3 linked regions of the Drosophila melanogaster genome follow. The protein of the gene in region 1 interacts with the protein of each later gene in a pairwise test. Each region holds a gene or a part of one and is shown in the gene's direction. Other genes may lie near its edges.

Evidence for each region. The genes of interacting proteins can lie anywhere in the genome.
Region 2: the proteins of CG17107 (region 1) and Cht6 interact in a two-hybrid assay, tested with the Drosophila melanogaster proteins (one large-scale study listed by BioGRID).
Region 3: the proteins of CG17107 (region 1) and CG14642 interact in a two-hybrid assay, tested with the Drosophila melanogaster proteins (one large-scale study listed by BioGRID).

The regions. Positions count from the first base shown.
Region 1 is NT_033779.5:10,680,364-10,683,085, forward strand, and holds CG17107 (uncharacterized protein), read left to right. Parts: upstream 1-1,602; 5' UTR 1,603-1,627; coding exon 1,628-1,918; 3' UTR 1,919-2,165; downstream 2,166-2,722. Other genes in the region: CG17105 (uncharacterized protein), read left to right, coding at 684-995.
Region 2 is NC_004354.4:10,015,024-10,019,909, forward strand, and holds the start of Cht6 (chitinase 6), read left to right. Parts: upstream 1-1,821; 5' UTR 1,822-1,880; intron 1,881-2,514; exon of another isoform or gene 2,515-2,594; 5' UTR 2,595-2,700; coding exon 2,701-2,709; intron 2,710-4,886.
Region 3 is NT_033777.3:4,240,480-4,244,644, reverse strand, and holds CG14642 (uncharacterized protein), read left to right. Parts: upstream 1-1,927; 5' UTR 1,928-1,949; coding exon 1,950-2,307; intron 2,308-2,371; coding exon 2,372-2,487; intron 2,488-2,557; coding exon 2,558-2,667; intron 2,668-2,725; coding exon 2,726-2,890; exon of another isoform or gene 2,891-2,946; coding exon 2,947-3,376; 3' UTR 3,377-3,392; exon of another isoform or gene 3,393-3,445; intron 3,446-3,512; 3' UTR 3,513-3,600; downstream 3,601-4,165. Other genes in the region: CG34305 (uncharacterized protein), read left to right, coding at 1,509-1,523, 1,586-1,810; Gel (gelsolin), read right to left, coding at 3,708-3,767, 3,931-4,056, 4,121-4,165.

The DNA.
Region 1 (2,722 bases):
TATGCCTCACCCTCGATGGAATTTGAAAGCAATCGGCTATAAAACAAACACCAAGCGCTAATTTCCATTTGAACTTGAGCGGCAGTCGCTAAACTGCATGTTGAATATGGTTCGAATGAATGCGGATCGAAGGTTTTGGCGATACGGGTTTTTTTTTTTTTGGCCACTTAACTGGCCTTTATTTACTAAGCCAACTGACTTAGTAAGCTCTAGGTCGTGGGATGTACCGATATCAGGCAGTTAGTCATAAGCTTAACGGGATGAAGAAAAATATATATATTAAGATGGTAACCACAATTGCAGAAATGAAATTAATAGATTAGTTATTTCTATCATAACATTGAAGTAATTTCTCTATCTCTCCATTTTCCTTGCTTATGAATAAATTTATCCTGGACATTTAATGACCCAAATTACTACAGTAGATTGATTTGTAAAACAAAAAGATTCGCAAATATTTCTCACTGTATGCTTGCTACAGTAAGCTCTGGCTATAAAAGCTTCATTCGCAGAAAATAAAAACAACTTCTGTTACAGCCGAAAACTATGCCACTTATATATTTAAGCTCTAGTTAACCATTGTTAACAAGTTAAGTAGACTTATTTTTGCTTTCTTTGTTTCATTATGGAAATTAAGTTGTCATACGAAAAAAAAAAAACACAGGATAGTGGGACATCCCACGATGAAATTATATGCACTCTGCGCTATCCTGCTCCTTGCCATTGTGGCAGTCCAAGGATATCCTGGTATACACGGTGGCTTTGGACACGGAGGACACGGTGGACTCAGTGGCTTGGGAGGACTTGGCGGCTTAGGAGGACGCGTTGGTTTCGGAGGACCCGGTGGCTATGGAGGACCCGGTGGCTACGGAGGACTCGGTGGCTACGGCGGACCCGGTAGCTACGGCGGTGGTGGTGGAGGCGCAGTAGCCACTGCCAACGCTAATGCAAACGCAAACTCAGTTGGTTACAGTCCGGGTGCTTACTACGGATAAGGAATGATGATAACAGCAGTCCAGAAACGGCAATTGCTTTAAAAAATAAACAAATGCATAATTATTGCATAAAGACTAAGACATTTTTCTATTATTACTTTTGCCAAACGTTATCAACACAATGGCCTTACCTTCTATGTATAATATACTATAAATATAAATTTATTAATTTTTAATTATTATTTATTAAGTGAAGAATATATATATAATTTTCGGGTTCAAAAGTTGTAATCACCGGAAAAGGAATTTTGTATAAAATGTGTAAACAGAAGCAAATCTAAGGACTTACATGATAAACTAGTTTTTATAGCTGATTATCATAATGAATTTATCTGAGCTTTTTTACAGCCTGAAAATATACTTTACCAAAACATGGCTTGCCAAAGCTAACCAGTTTTCAATTATTGATAACATAGTATATAAGCATATACTATACATATAGGTAATATTAAACGTCATGCGTTTTTAATATATGTCTAATTAATGTGCTAATCGAAGCCCCCATATATATGCCGATACAATATCGATTCTGTGATTTTTTTTGTTTTTCAGATAAACAAGTCGTCCACCTGTCACGGATGCTGGTATAAAAGAGGCCAGCACGCGATCACAAAACATCGCAATCTCTAACGATGAAGTTCCTGGCTATCTGCATTTTTCTAATCTTCGCCCTGGTGGCCGTTCAGGCACATCCTGGTGGATTCGGCGGATTCGGTGGAGGCGGTGGTGGCGGTGGTCGCGGTGGAGGCGGTGGAGGCGGTGGAGTCGGTGGAGTCGGCGGTTCGAACGCAGTTGCCAACGCGAATGCCGCTGCAACCGCCGACAGCAGAGGAGGCGGCCCAGCTTCCGCCTCGGCCTCGGCCACTGCAACCGCCAACGCCAGCTCCGGAGGAGGTGGAGGTGGACATGGCAGACATGGATAGGCTCGAAACGGATTCATAACTGTACTCTCGAAAAGTGGGCACGTCCGCTGACAGACCTACTAAACTGAAACCAATACCAATACCAATAAATATTAAAATGCTAATTCTGTTTTTGGAAATCCAAGATGTTGTTTTCGTATATTAGGTTAATAACCAGTTTATGAGTCGGGCATTATTTATAGATCTAATGACGTCAAACAAGATTTCTCTAGCCTCCTAAAAACAGACTAAGTTAACAGCGGGAGCTAATATTAGAAACTATGTTTTAAAATGTATCTAACAACTTGAATTACAACTGAAAAGTATGCATTATATATATATAGTTTTTGCAAATAGTTAGTGCATCTCAATTTTAATTTAATTTATTTTTATATTTAAAATCATTAAGCTCATTTCATTCATCATTTGTTTGTACAGCTTACCCGGAAATCCAAACAATTTGTGAGTTTTTTTTTTTTGTGTGATTACTTTTTTTATGTAATTAAGTAATTGCATTTGCCACCCACAACAAGTCTTGAATTTGGCCACTTACGGAGTGACACACTCAATTTCAGCAGGTCTAATAAATCGAAGATATTTTTTCACAAATGAAGTCCGACGTCTCTTGATATATTGTCAAGCTTCTTAAAACTCGGGTTTGCAATATTTAAATTTGCAAATTATCAACATCTGGATAAGTTTCTACGTTTACGGTAGCCAAACCTTTCCGAAATAAAACTAGTTTTATACCCCTTAATCGTACAGTAATAGGGTATGCTAGGCTTATTAGAATGTATGAAACAGATAGAAGGAGCATTTTCAATC
Region 2 (4,886 bases), on another chromosome or scaffold:
AGTAGTAGTAGTAGTAGTAGTAGCAGAATTAGTAGTAATAGTACTAGAAGTAAAGATAGTAGTATAAGTAGAAGTTAAGATAGTCGTAGAAGTAGAAGTTGTAGTTAGAATAACTATTCTAATGTCTGTGTTAGTACTTTTAGTAGCAGAAGTAGTAGTAGTAGGGTAGTTTTTTTTACCACATCCCTGATATAACCCATATACCCATTGATATCATTGATACACCATTGAAGAGTCCGAAAACACCAAAATAACCATTGGAGGGCAGAAAGCGGACACAGTCAGATGGATATGGTATGTGAAAGACGAATACTCGTAAATTGGGAGTGGAGTGACAACAGGGAGAAAGAGGAAGAAGGCCAAGAGCAGTAACAGTAACAGTCGAAGGGGGGGGGGGGGGGACAACAACACTAATGGGCATAAACAAATCGCTTGATAAAATATTTGAAATTCATTTCGCGCCGCCGCTTGGCAGCCGTTGGCATTTCGATGACAGCATTTAATGCTTATTATGTAAACTCTTTTTTCTCTAACCGGGCCATTGGGTATTATTCGTTATTGGGTATAGGGAATGGTGTGGACTGTTGTGGAGTGGAGAGTGGGTCCAAAACAAAGGTCAGCCACAATATTATTGGGCACTGAATTGATTTTGAGTTCCGGCCAAACCCAAAATGTGGTTTTTTTTTTTTTTTTGAAACACCCTCCATCATCTCCCTCCACTTGTGTGTGCGCAACAAATTAAGCCCATTAAGCATCTTCGGGCAGCAGCAGCAACAACAACAACAACAACATCACCTGTTGCAATAGATTGAACACTCCAATCACAAGATGATCCACAAAAACCTCGGGCCATTTGTCTATAAAGCGGCTCAAATCTGTGGGAAGATGCGCTGACTGATGGGCTTTAACTTTCGCACAAATTTCCACCGAAAATTGCACAAATTTAGCTTAATAGGTTATAATTGTACCTATGATAAACGCTTTAAGACAAAATTAGCAAATTATACACCTTTCAACTTGGGCGAAATGAAATTACTTCTATGGCTATAATTAAAAGTTATTAAATAATCGAATCGAACATTAAAAGGAATGAAAAAGTACTATTAATTGATATTAAATTAAATTAATTGTAATTATTTAAATTATTTTTAATCTATTTTTAGAAATATCTTATAAAGAAACATCATTAATATACTCCTATTTTACATATCTATTTTCAACAAATCGCTGCCATGGCTGTATAAATTGATTTAAATTAATTTCGAGCTGTGTATTTTAAGGGGAATCACCTAAGCTAAGCCCTTTTGAACTCTTAATCAATATAGAAAAATCATAACAATCATTTTATTTTAACATTAATATATACCTTTTATGTCTGTAAAAATTGTCATTTATTAAAATCTACAGCAAGAATGTCTTGCACAACCCTAAATCCATTTACCTCGATTATGGCCAACAATTAGTGAACGATTTCACTGCCATTTAACGCTCAAACCGCAAAAGTGTGTCCATAATTGATAATTTTTTATTTCTGGTCATGAAGCAAATTAAAGCCGCACCATTTAGTTTTTCTTGGCTTTTGTGTGTAATTTTAGGGCCCAAGAACTGCGTTTTGTTTGCAGCGTTTACGTACGTGTTTCTCGCCCGCTGCCTGGCAGTTGTTAACTTGGCCAAAAGTGCCATGTTAACTGGTTTAACAGACTTTAACTGGCTTTTGCGGCTGCGCAGCAACTGGTTGCTTGGTGTTGCTAGTTGCTGCCGCTGCTGCTGCTGCTGTTGCTGCTTGGCCTCTGTTATGTCGCATGTTGCTGGTTTCTGGTTGCTGTTGGCCACGCTTTTTGGCCACCAAACGGATTCAGTGCAGCGGCGACTCTCGAACGGTATTGTTGGCTTTAGCGGTAACTCGCCATTGGCCGTGCATACGAAAAAAGATACACTCTGTTTATATAGTCAATCGTTTCTACTGTTTTTTTTTTTTTTTTGTTTGTTTTTTTGTTTGTTGAATTCGTTCGTGGCTGGAACTTTTCTTGCATTTTTTTTGCTTTTCTGTTTAGCTTGGTAGTTGTTTTTTTTTTTCTTGTTCAATTTGCGTGCCTCGAGTGAATGTGGATAATTTGGCAGATAGTTTTTCTGCGATTTGATATGTGTGCGGATTTAGTTATTCAGTTATATTGGGCCAAAAAGAGCACCGCCGACGCCGCCGCGCCTGGCCGAAAGTGAAAAACTGAATGCGCAGACGTGTGTAACAGTTTTTACTTTCGGCCTGGTTTTCTGCCTTTTTTTTCGGCATCTCTAGTAGTTGCTGTTTGGGTTGCTTTTTTTATTTGGCTGCTGCTGCTGGGAGGCAGTGGAGCATTCAGCCAAGATCTGTGCAGATTGCATAAAATACAGACAGACCAGCAGCAGCAGCAGCAGCAACAACAGCAGCAACTGCTAACTGCAACCGCATTTAGCCCAGTTTTCTGAGCAAATATTTTCGAAAAGCTAACGACAAAAAAATCTCACACTAAATCTTAGCGTTATTTTTTCCTCCTCGTCGTTGTCGTCGCGTTTAACTCAAATTATAACAACAATAAAAACAACAACGAGAGCAGCAGCAGCAGCAACAGCAACATCAGCAGCAGCAACAACAACAACAGTAACAACATCTAGCCCAAAGGAGCCTTGTATTGCCACCTCGACCAGCAAAAAGCCGCCAAAATGCTTCCGGTAAGTGGTTGCAGCGATATATAAGAGAGCAAAAAGAAAAAAAAGAAAAAAAATAAAAAAAATTGAACAAAAATCCACAAAACAACTCTCGACATTAACTGCAAAACTGAAAAATCATTTTTATTTCGCATTTTTGTTTCTTTTTGCCGCTTTTGTGGCCTGCATTTTGTACGCAATTAGCGCAAATCTGGCGAAAAGTAGTAAATATTTAGACCAGTTCGGCTATATCGACTGGATTTCCTGGCCAGCTTAAAAAGGCTGTGATTTATTTCGTTGAAAACAACCTTGGCAGGATCCGCGCTCGAAAGCTGTTATCCTTGAGTGAAAAAAGGCGAAAGATCAGGAAAGATTGCCAAACTGGTTACTCTTCGTTCTCGTTGATTTGAATAATTCATGGAGGCCGCGTTTTCGATTTCGTTTGCCTGGTTTAACTTGATATTAAAATGTCTCTCTTAGATGATTGCATAATTAATTTGTGTGACACATCGTGCTGGGCGCGAAGAATTCATCAGAATATGAGTTTTCGACGTGTTAAGTAATAGTTCTATCAAAAGTAAAAGTTTAGGGAATTCGTTTTTATAGTTTATGTGCTACTAAACAGACTAAGTGCTGGAATTTCAAAAATGTTTGAAATTTGTAATCAACTAGATCAAGATAAGCTATCTAGATCTTAAAGAATTTTTACGACTCATACAATTATGCATTTTGTATTTGCATATGAATTCGGAATCAAATATTTTATGGTTAATTTGCATTAAAATTCATAAATACTAAGTTGGACATATCTACGAACTATCTTTGATTAATTAATTGATCGAAAGTTCAGGTCGATTGGTTATCATTCAGGTGGGGAATTCGTCAAAAAGTGAGAGGAATGAGATATGCACGCCCACATAAATTGATCTAAAAATCATTTTTACGATCTCGCGCCTTATGTAAGCCACCACTTTCAACCGATTAACACTTTTGAAGACGCCAAAGACGTCAACACGATTGCAATTCCCATGCTAATCGAAGCGATCGAGTGCAAAACTCAAAACTGAAAACTTTCAAACACGAATCGCGAAATCGCTGCGAGATACATTGCACGCATATTAAAAGATGATGGTGTCTACTTATTGCTATTTAGAGATACATCCCAGACTTTTACTATTTTACAATTTCACTAGCTTCGCTAGCTTGAGGGGGCCGCAAATCGAATCGAAACGAGGCTCTACATCCGCTTGGACCTTCGATGAGGCATATTTCTGGCCCAAACCGAACCTATGATATTTCTGTTGCTCATGCAAATTTGCTGCTGCGCATGCGCATAAAACCCGTTTAGGAATTGTGTTATTTTTGATGGCTGTTTTTTTTTTTTTTTTTTTTTTGTTATTTTTGTCAATTTTCGGCTTGAACTTATTTTATTTTCGGCCACGTTTTTTTCTGTGGGCCCGCGGGGGCGAAACAAGTTTGGCGACAAGTGCTGCCAAGACTAGCCAAAATGATGTGTCTCATCTCCGCCAATCCGTTTGACGTCAGGCCGCAAAAATGCGTGAGAAGAGGAAATCGTCTTCGGCTTTTGTTTTCTTCAACAAAATAAAGGAAAAATATCAGCCGGAAATCGGTGGCCCAGCCCCAGAAAATAAGCCAGCGAAAATTGCTATTTACAAATTCATGCAACAGCAAAACTGCAACTGCAACATTGCAAGTTGCAACGCCAACGCGTTGCAGCCGCACCCAAAAGACAATGACAGTGAACTGAAAAGCAAGACGAGTCCAATCCAATCCATTCCGATCCTCCTCCATCAGCCATATGCATGCATTAAATCAGTCGGTCGGTCTATTCAAGTGTCTGATTTTCAATTCAATACCCTTTCCAAGTGGCTGCTTTACTTCTTCAGATGATTATTACCTTAAGAGCACTGTGAAAACAAAATTATATATACATTATATGATATTAGGAGCAACTAAAAGCTCATGATTCATTCATATTTCAAATATCCCAAAAAAAAAAAAAAATAAGCTAAATCATTAAGTGATGACGAGCTGCAAGCCATCTAGGTCCGCGTTCATATTGAAAAATTACATCCCAATGATGCTGATCTCGGATGAATTCATACGTATCATCTGACCCCGGAGGTGGTACATCCGCCTCGAAGTCATGGAAAGGTTTCCAGATTGGCAAATCGGAATTC
Region 3 (4,165 bases), on another chromosome or scaffold:
AGAATCTGAAATTGTTTGATGGTTACACAAAGTGCGGAATAAATGCTTTGTGTTCTTACTAGAAAGATGCGCATCGTGAATACTTGTATCTACTTGTGGGTGGCTAAATACATTTTTTGTGCGGGCAGTTCGGCAGATGGGTTTCCTTTGCCGAAGATTACATTTGGTCGACGCTTTTATACGTTACTGTTCCAGTGGCTTTTCTGATGCAAGCAATCATTTGTAAGATGGAGAATATGCAAATCTATTGAAATTAGGGAGACGTAGGCCTATTTGATAATTCAGCCCATTTTCATTGCATATTATAGAGCAAATAAGGAAGAAGTAACATTATAAATTATAACAAAAAGCTTTGAGAGTTTGTGCGGACATGCCATATAAAATGTTCTCCTAGTGTTCTTTGTAATGATAATTTAAACACATTTTAAATATTTTATATTCTTTATTCGAATGTTACTTTAAAAATGCTCTGATACTTAATTGTAGTATTTGTCATTTTATGCATTTAGGCGAACTTCTTCCTCAACAAAAATGTGCACTTCACGACATATACTTTCAATTCATATTTCTTCAAGTAAAGTTTCCGACTATTTTGTTATCGTTTTTCCATTTTTTAACCTTTTGTTCATTAGTTGATTAACTAATGTACTGCAGAAACAACATTCGCGTATTTGAACCACCTATTTGCTAAACAACTTTTAAGTCATTATAAGTAAGCCACTAATATTCACAAAGGTGTCATATAAAAGCAGTCCGGCGGCCATATAACTGAAAAGCGAGTTTTTTTTTTTTTTTTTGGTAAGTGTCATCAGATGCTTGCTGTTTTTGATAAAATAACTGAAAAACTTGTTTTGCGTCCAACAGAGCACACAGTAAACTCTAAGGGGAAGAGCAAATCGATTTTTAACAAAAAGAAAACATTCACAGAACTACCCATTTTATAGTTCATGTTAAGAATATTTCTCTTGAGAATTGAAAAATTCGCTACATAGAATAATCACTGTATATATATATATATGTACATAATATACAATATATACATGTTTCAAGTTCATCAAAGCAAGTTATCACAGGTTCACACCTAACGAGAATACATGTTTCAACTTAATATTTTATCAATTTATTGAACACTTTTATACTGGATCCCATTAGGTTTTTAATTATGTAAGCATGTTATACACTGCACTATAAAATGTATAGTTCAAATTTAACTGTTTATAATTTTTAATTATAAGTTGATGTCGTAAAAAATGGTTTTAACCACTCAAAACATGTATAGAAAATTTAAATCGCTTGGTTATGAACCCATATCATCTGAGTCATATTTAAATTGGGTTTTGAGTCAATATAAAAAGTGAAATAAAAACATTTTTATGCAACGGCACACATTGATTTTCAAAAATTAAAATATTATTTTCTGTAAGTGCACGCATTGATTGTTTAAGCTTTGTATAAAAGAGATGTATGCAAGGGCGCAAGGCTTAGTCCGTTTTTGAGTTTTCGACAAAATGAAGATACTCAACGTAAGTATGCACAAATTAATGAGCGGAACTGCTCCTAATGGCTCCCATCGCTGTCCACACAGTTCATAATCCTGCTAGTCCTGGTGACCATCGCTCTATCAGCCCCCGCTGCCGCCACAGACAATGCTCCTACGGTATCCGTGCTGCGCTACAAAGATGATCGGGATTTGGCTAATATTCAGCGGGCAATTATTGCGCAGTACGAAAGAATTGGCGGCACCACTAAGGTTCATCAGCCACTGACGGCCAATATCGTCAACCCAGCAAGCCTTGGAATTGTCATTTAATGCTCGTCAAAAATAAATTGTTTGTATTTGTGATTGTTAGCCCCGCTGATAAGACAGAGCTGCGTGCCTTTTGGGATTAACCGACCCGCAGAAGTTTTAGTCTGCTCTTGACACTCGCCGCGTTCGCAGAGCCCTTACGATGCTTCGCAATCTGTCCGTGTGTCTGATATCATTTATCGGGCTCTGGTGCCTGAGCAATACTCACACCCAGCGCCTGCCCCCAGAAGGGCGAATGCGCCCCTTGCAAGACGACTCGATCCGCTCTCCCGTGGACCGCGACATAGTCTTTCCGGAGTTAGACGCGGGACCAGGCAAGCCCGAGGAGAAGATGTGGTTTCACATAACAGACTTTCAATTTGATCGGGTGGAGGGCCCGACCCAGCCCAAGCCCAAGCCCAGACAATACCCCCCGCCGCCGATGCCCGGCCAGCCCTTTCCGCCGCCCCCCGGGGGCTTTAAAAAGAAGGAAAACAAGCAACGCCGCCTCTGCGAGCAAAGTAAGTAATTCGAGTGTTCAGCCATTCGATGGTTCGTGAGTCATTGACTGAGTTTATCACCAAGAATATTCCGAATATGTGGAGCGCATCTTTCCCAATGATACCGCAGTGGCTGCCGATGCCAACGACGCAGACTTCGATGGTCGGGTCCTGGCCCGGCCCGGTGAGTACCCACATATGGTACGAAACTAGGTAGCTGATAAGCCTCTACTGAGGAACTAACCCAAGCCCCTCGAATCTGTTTTCGTAGGCTGCCGTGGGCTTCGAGTCGGACAGAGGGCAAGTGGACTACAAATGTGGCGGCAGCTTGATAAGCGAGAGATTCGTGCTTACCGCAGCCCACTGTACATCCATATACGAGTGAGCATGCCAGTTAGCCCCCTGACCCCCAGTCCCGTGACTGTAATTTTCCTCTTAGGGCGCCCCCCAAGTGGGTTCGCATCGGGGACCTTGACCTGGCCTCCGAGAAGCGGTCGGTGGAGGCCCAGCTGCTTCGGATTGAGCAAGTGTTCGCGCACCCAAATTACAAAAAAAAGATGTACTATGACGACATAGCCCTACTTAAGCTGGAGAAGGAAGTGGAGTGGGTACCCAACAAGACAGAAGTGCGACCGCTGTTTGCTAACACGATTCTCTAAGACTGACGGAATACGTTAGACCTGTCCGCCTGTGGGTCTTTCCAGAGCTGCCCACTACGATAGCCTTCGCAATGGGGTACGGCGCAACGAGCTTCGCCAAGCCCATGACGAACCGCCTCACAAATCTTAACCTGACCGTAGTGCCGAACGCTGAGTGCAACGCCGAGCTGCCGCCTCTTGCTGAAACTCCCAGTGGAGTTCTGGAAAGCCAGATCTGCGCCCAGGACTACATTCTCAACAGAGACACTTGCCAGGGGGACTCGGGTGGACCCCTACAACTGAATTTGCCGGGTCGGCGCCGAGGGCATAGAATACACTATCACCTAATTGGCATCACCTCATACGGCGTGTTCTGCCGCAGTAGTTACCCATCAGTTTACACCAGAGTGTCTTCTTTCTTGGACTGGATCGAACTTACTGTTTGGGCCTGACAGATGCCTACATCAGGTTTGTATGATGTTGATGAAATTTAAGCCAAAATATATATTAAAAGAAATGGTATATTCTTTCCATTTATATTTCGATTCTTCCTATGGCATCTGTGTGTATGTATATGGACCAATCTAGCCCAACAACTATTTTCACAGGAGATATTTAAATACATTGCTACAACATTACACTAGTGAATTGTAAAAATAAATTGTGCTAAACAGTGGCCATATTGAAATTTATTTTAAAGTTATATTAGATAAACATAGGTGTTAGAAAGGCAAAAACAAACATATTTTTTGGTAAATTTTGCTGAGAATTGAATCATTGGTTTTAGACTTCATTGTTGGCATCAATAACAAGTTGCTTCATGTCTTCATAGCTGGGCTGGTTCTACGAGACCAAGAAAAGGGTTAAAAATACATAGAAATTATATAAATCTATTGTGTAGCGACTTTACAATTAAGAGAATAGGCCATCAGCATTAGTAATCAGCTTACTGTACAAGCAAGCAGTTAAACGAAGACAAACTCTAGGTCTGGTTTGGATCACGTACCTGCCAATAATTATCGTCCCAGTTGGGGAACATGCGTTTGAAAACCCTTGGTTCCTTGCCCTGGGGGACGCGAATGATGCTCACCGTGTCGAAGGAGCGGGCGGTAGGCTCTAAATTAAAGTAAAGCTGTAAATCAAGAAAAGACGTATAATTAGACGTGATAGAAAGCGATGGTGGGAAACGAGAAAACCTTTGCCGTGTCCAGAAGCTTCCCATTTTCCTCCTCAGACACGCC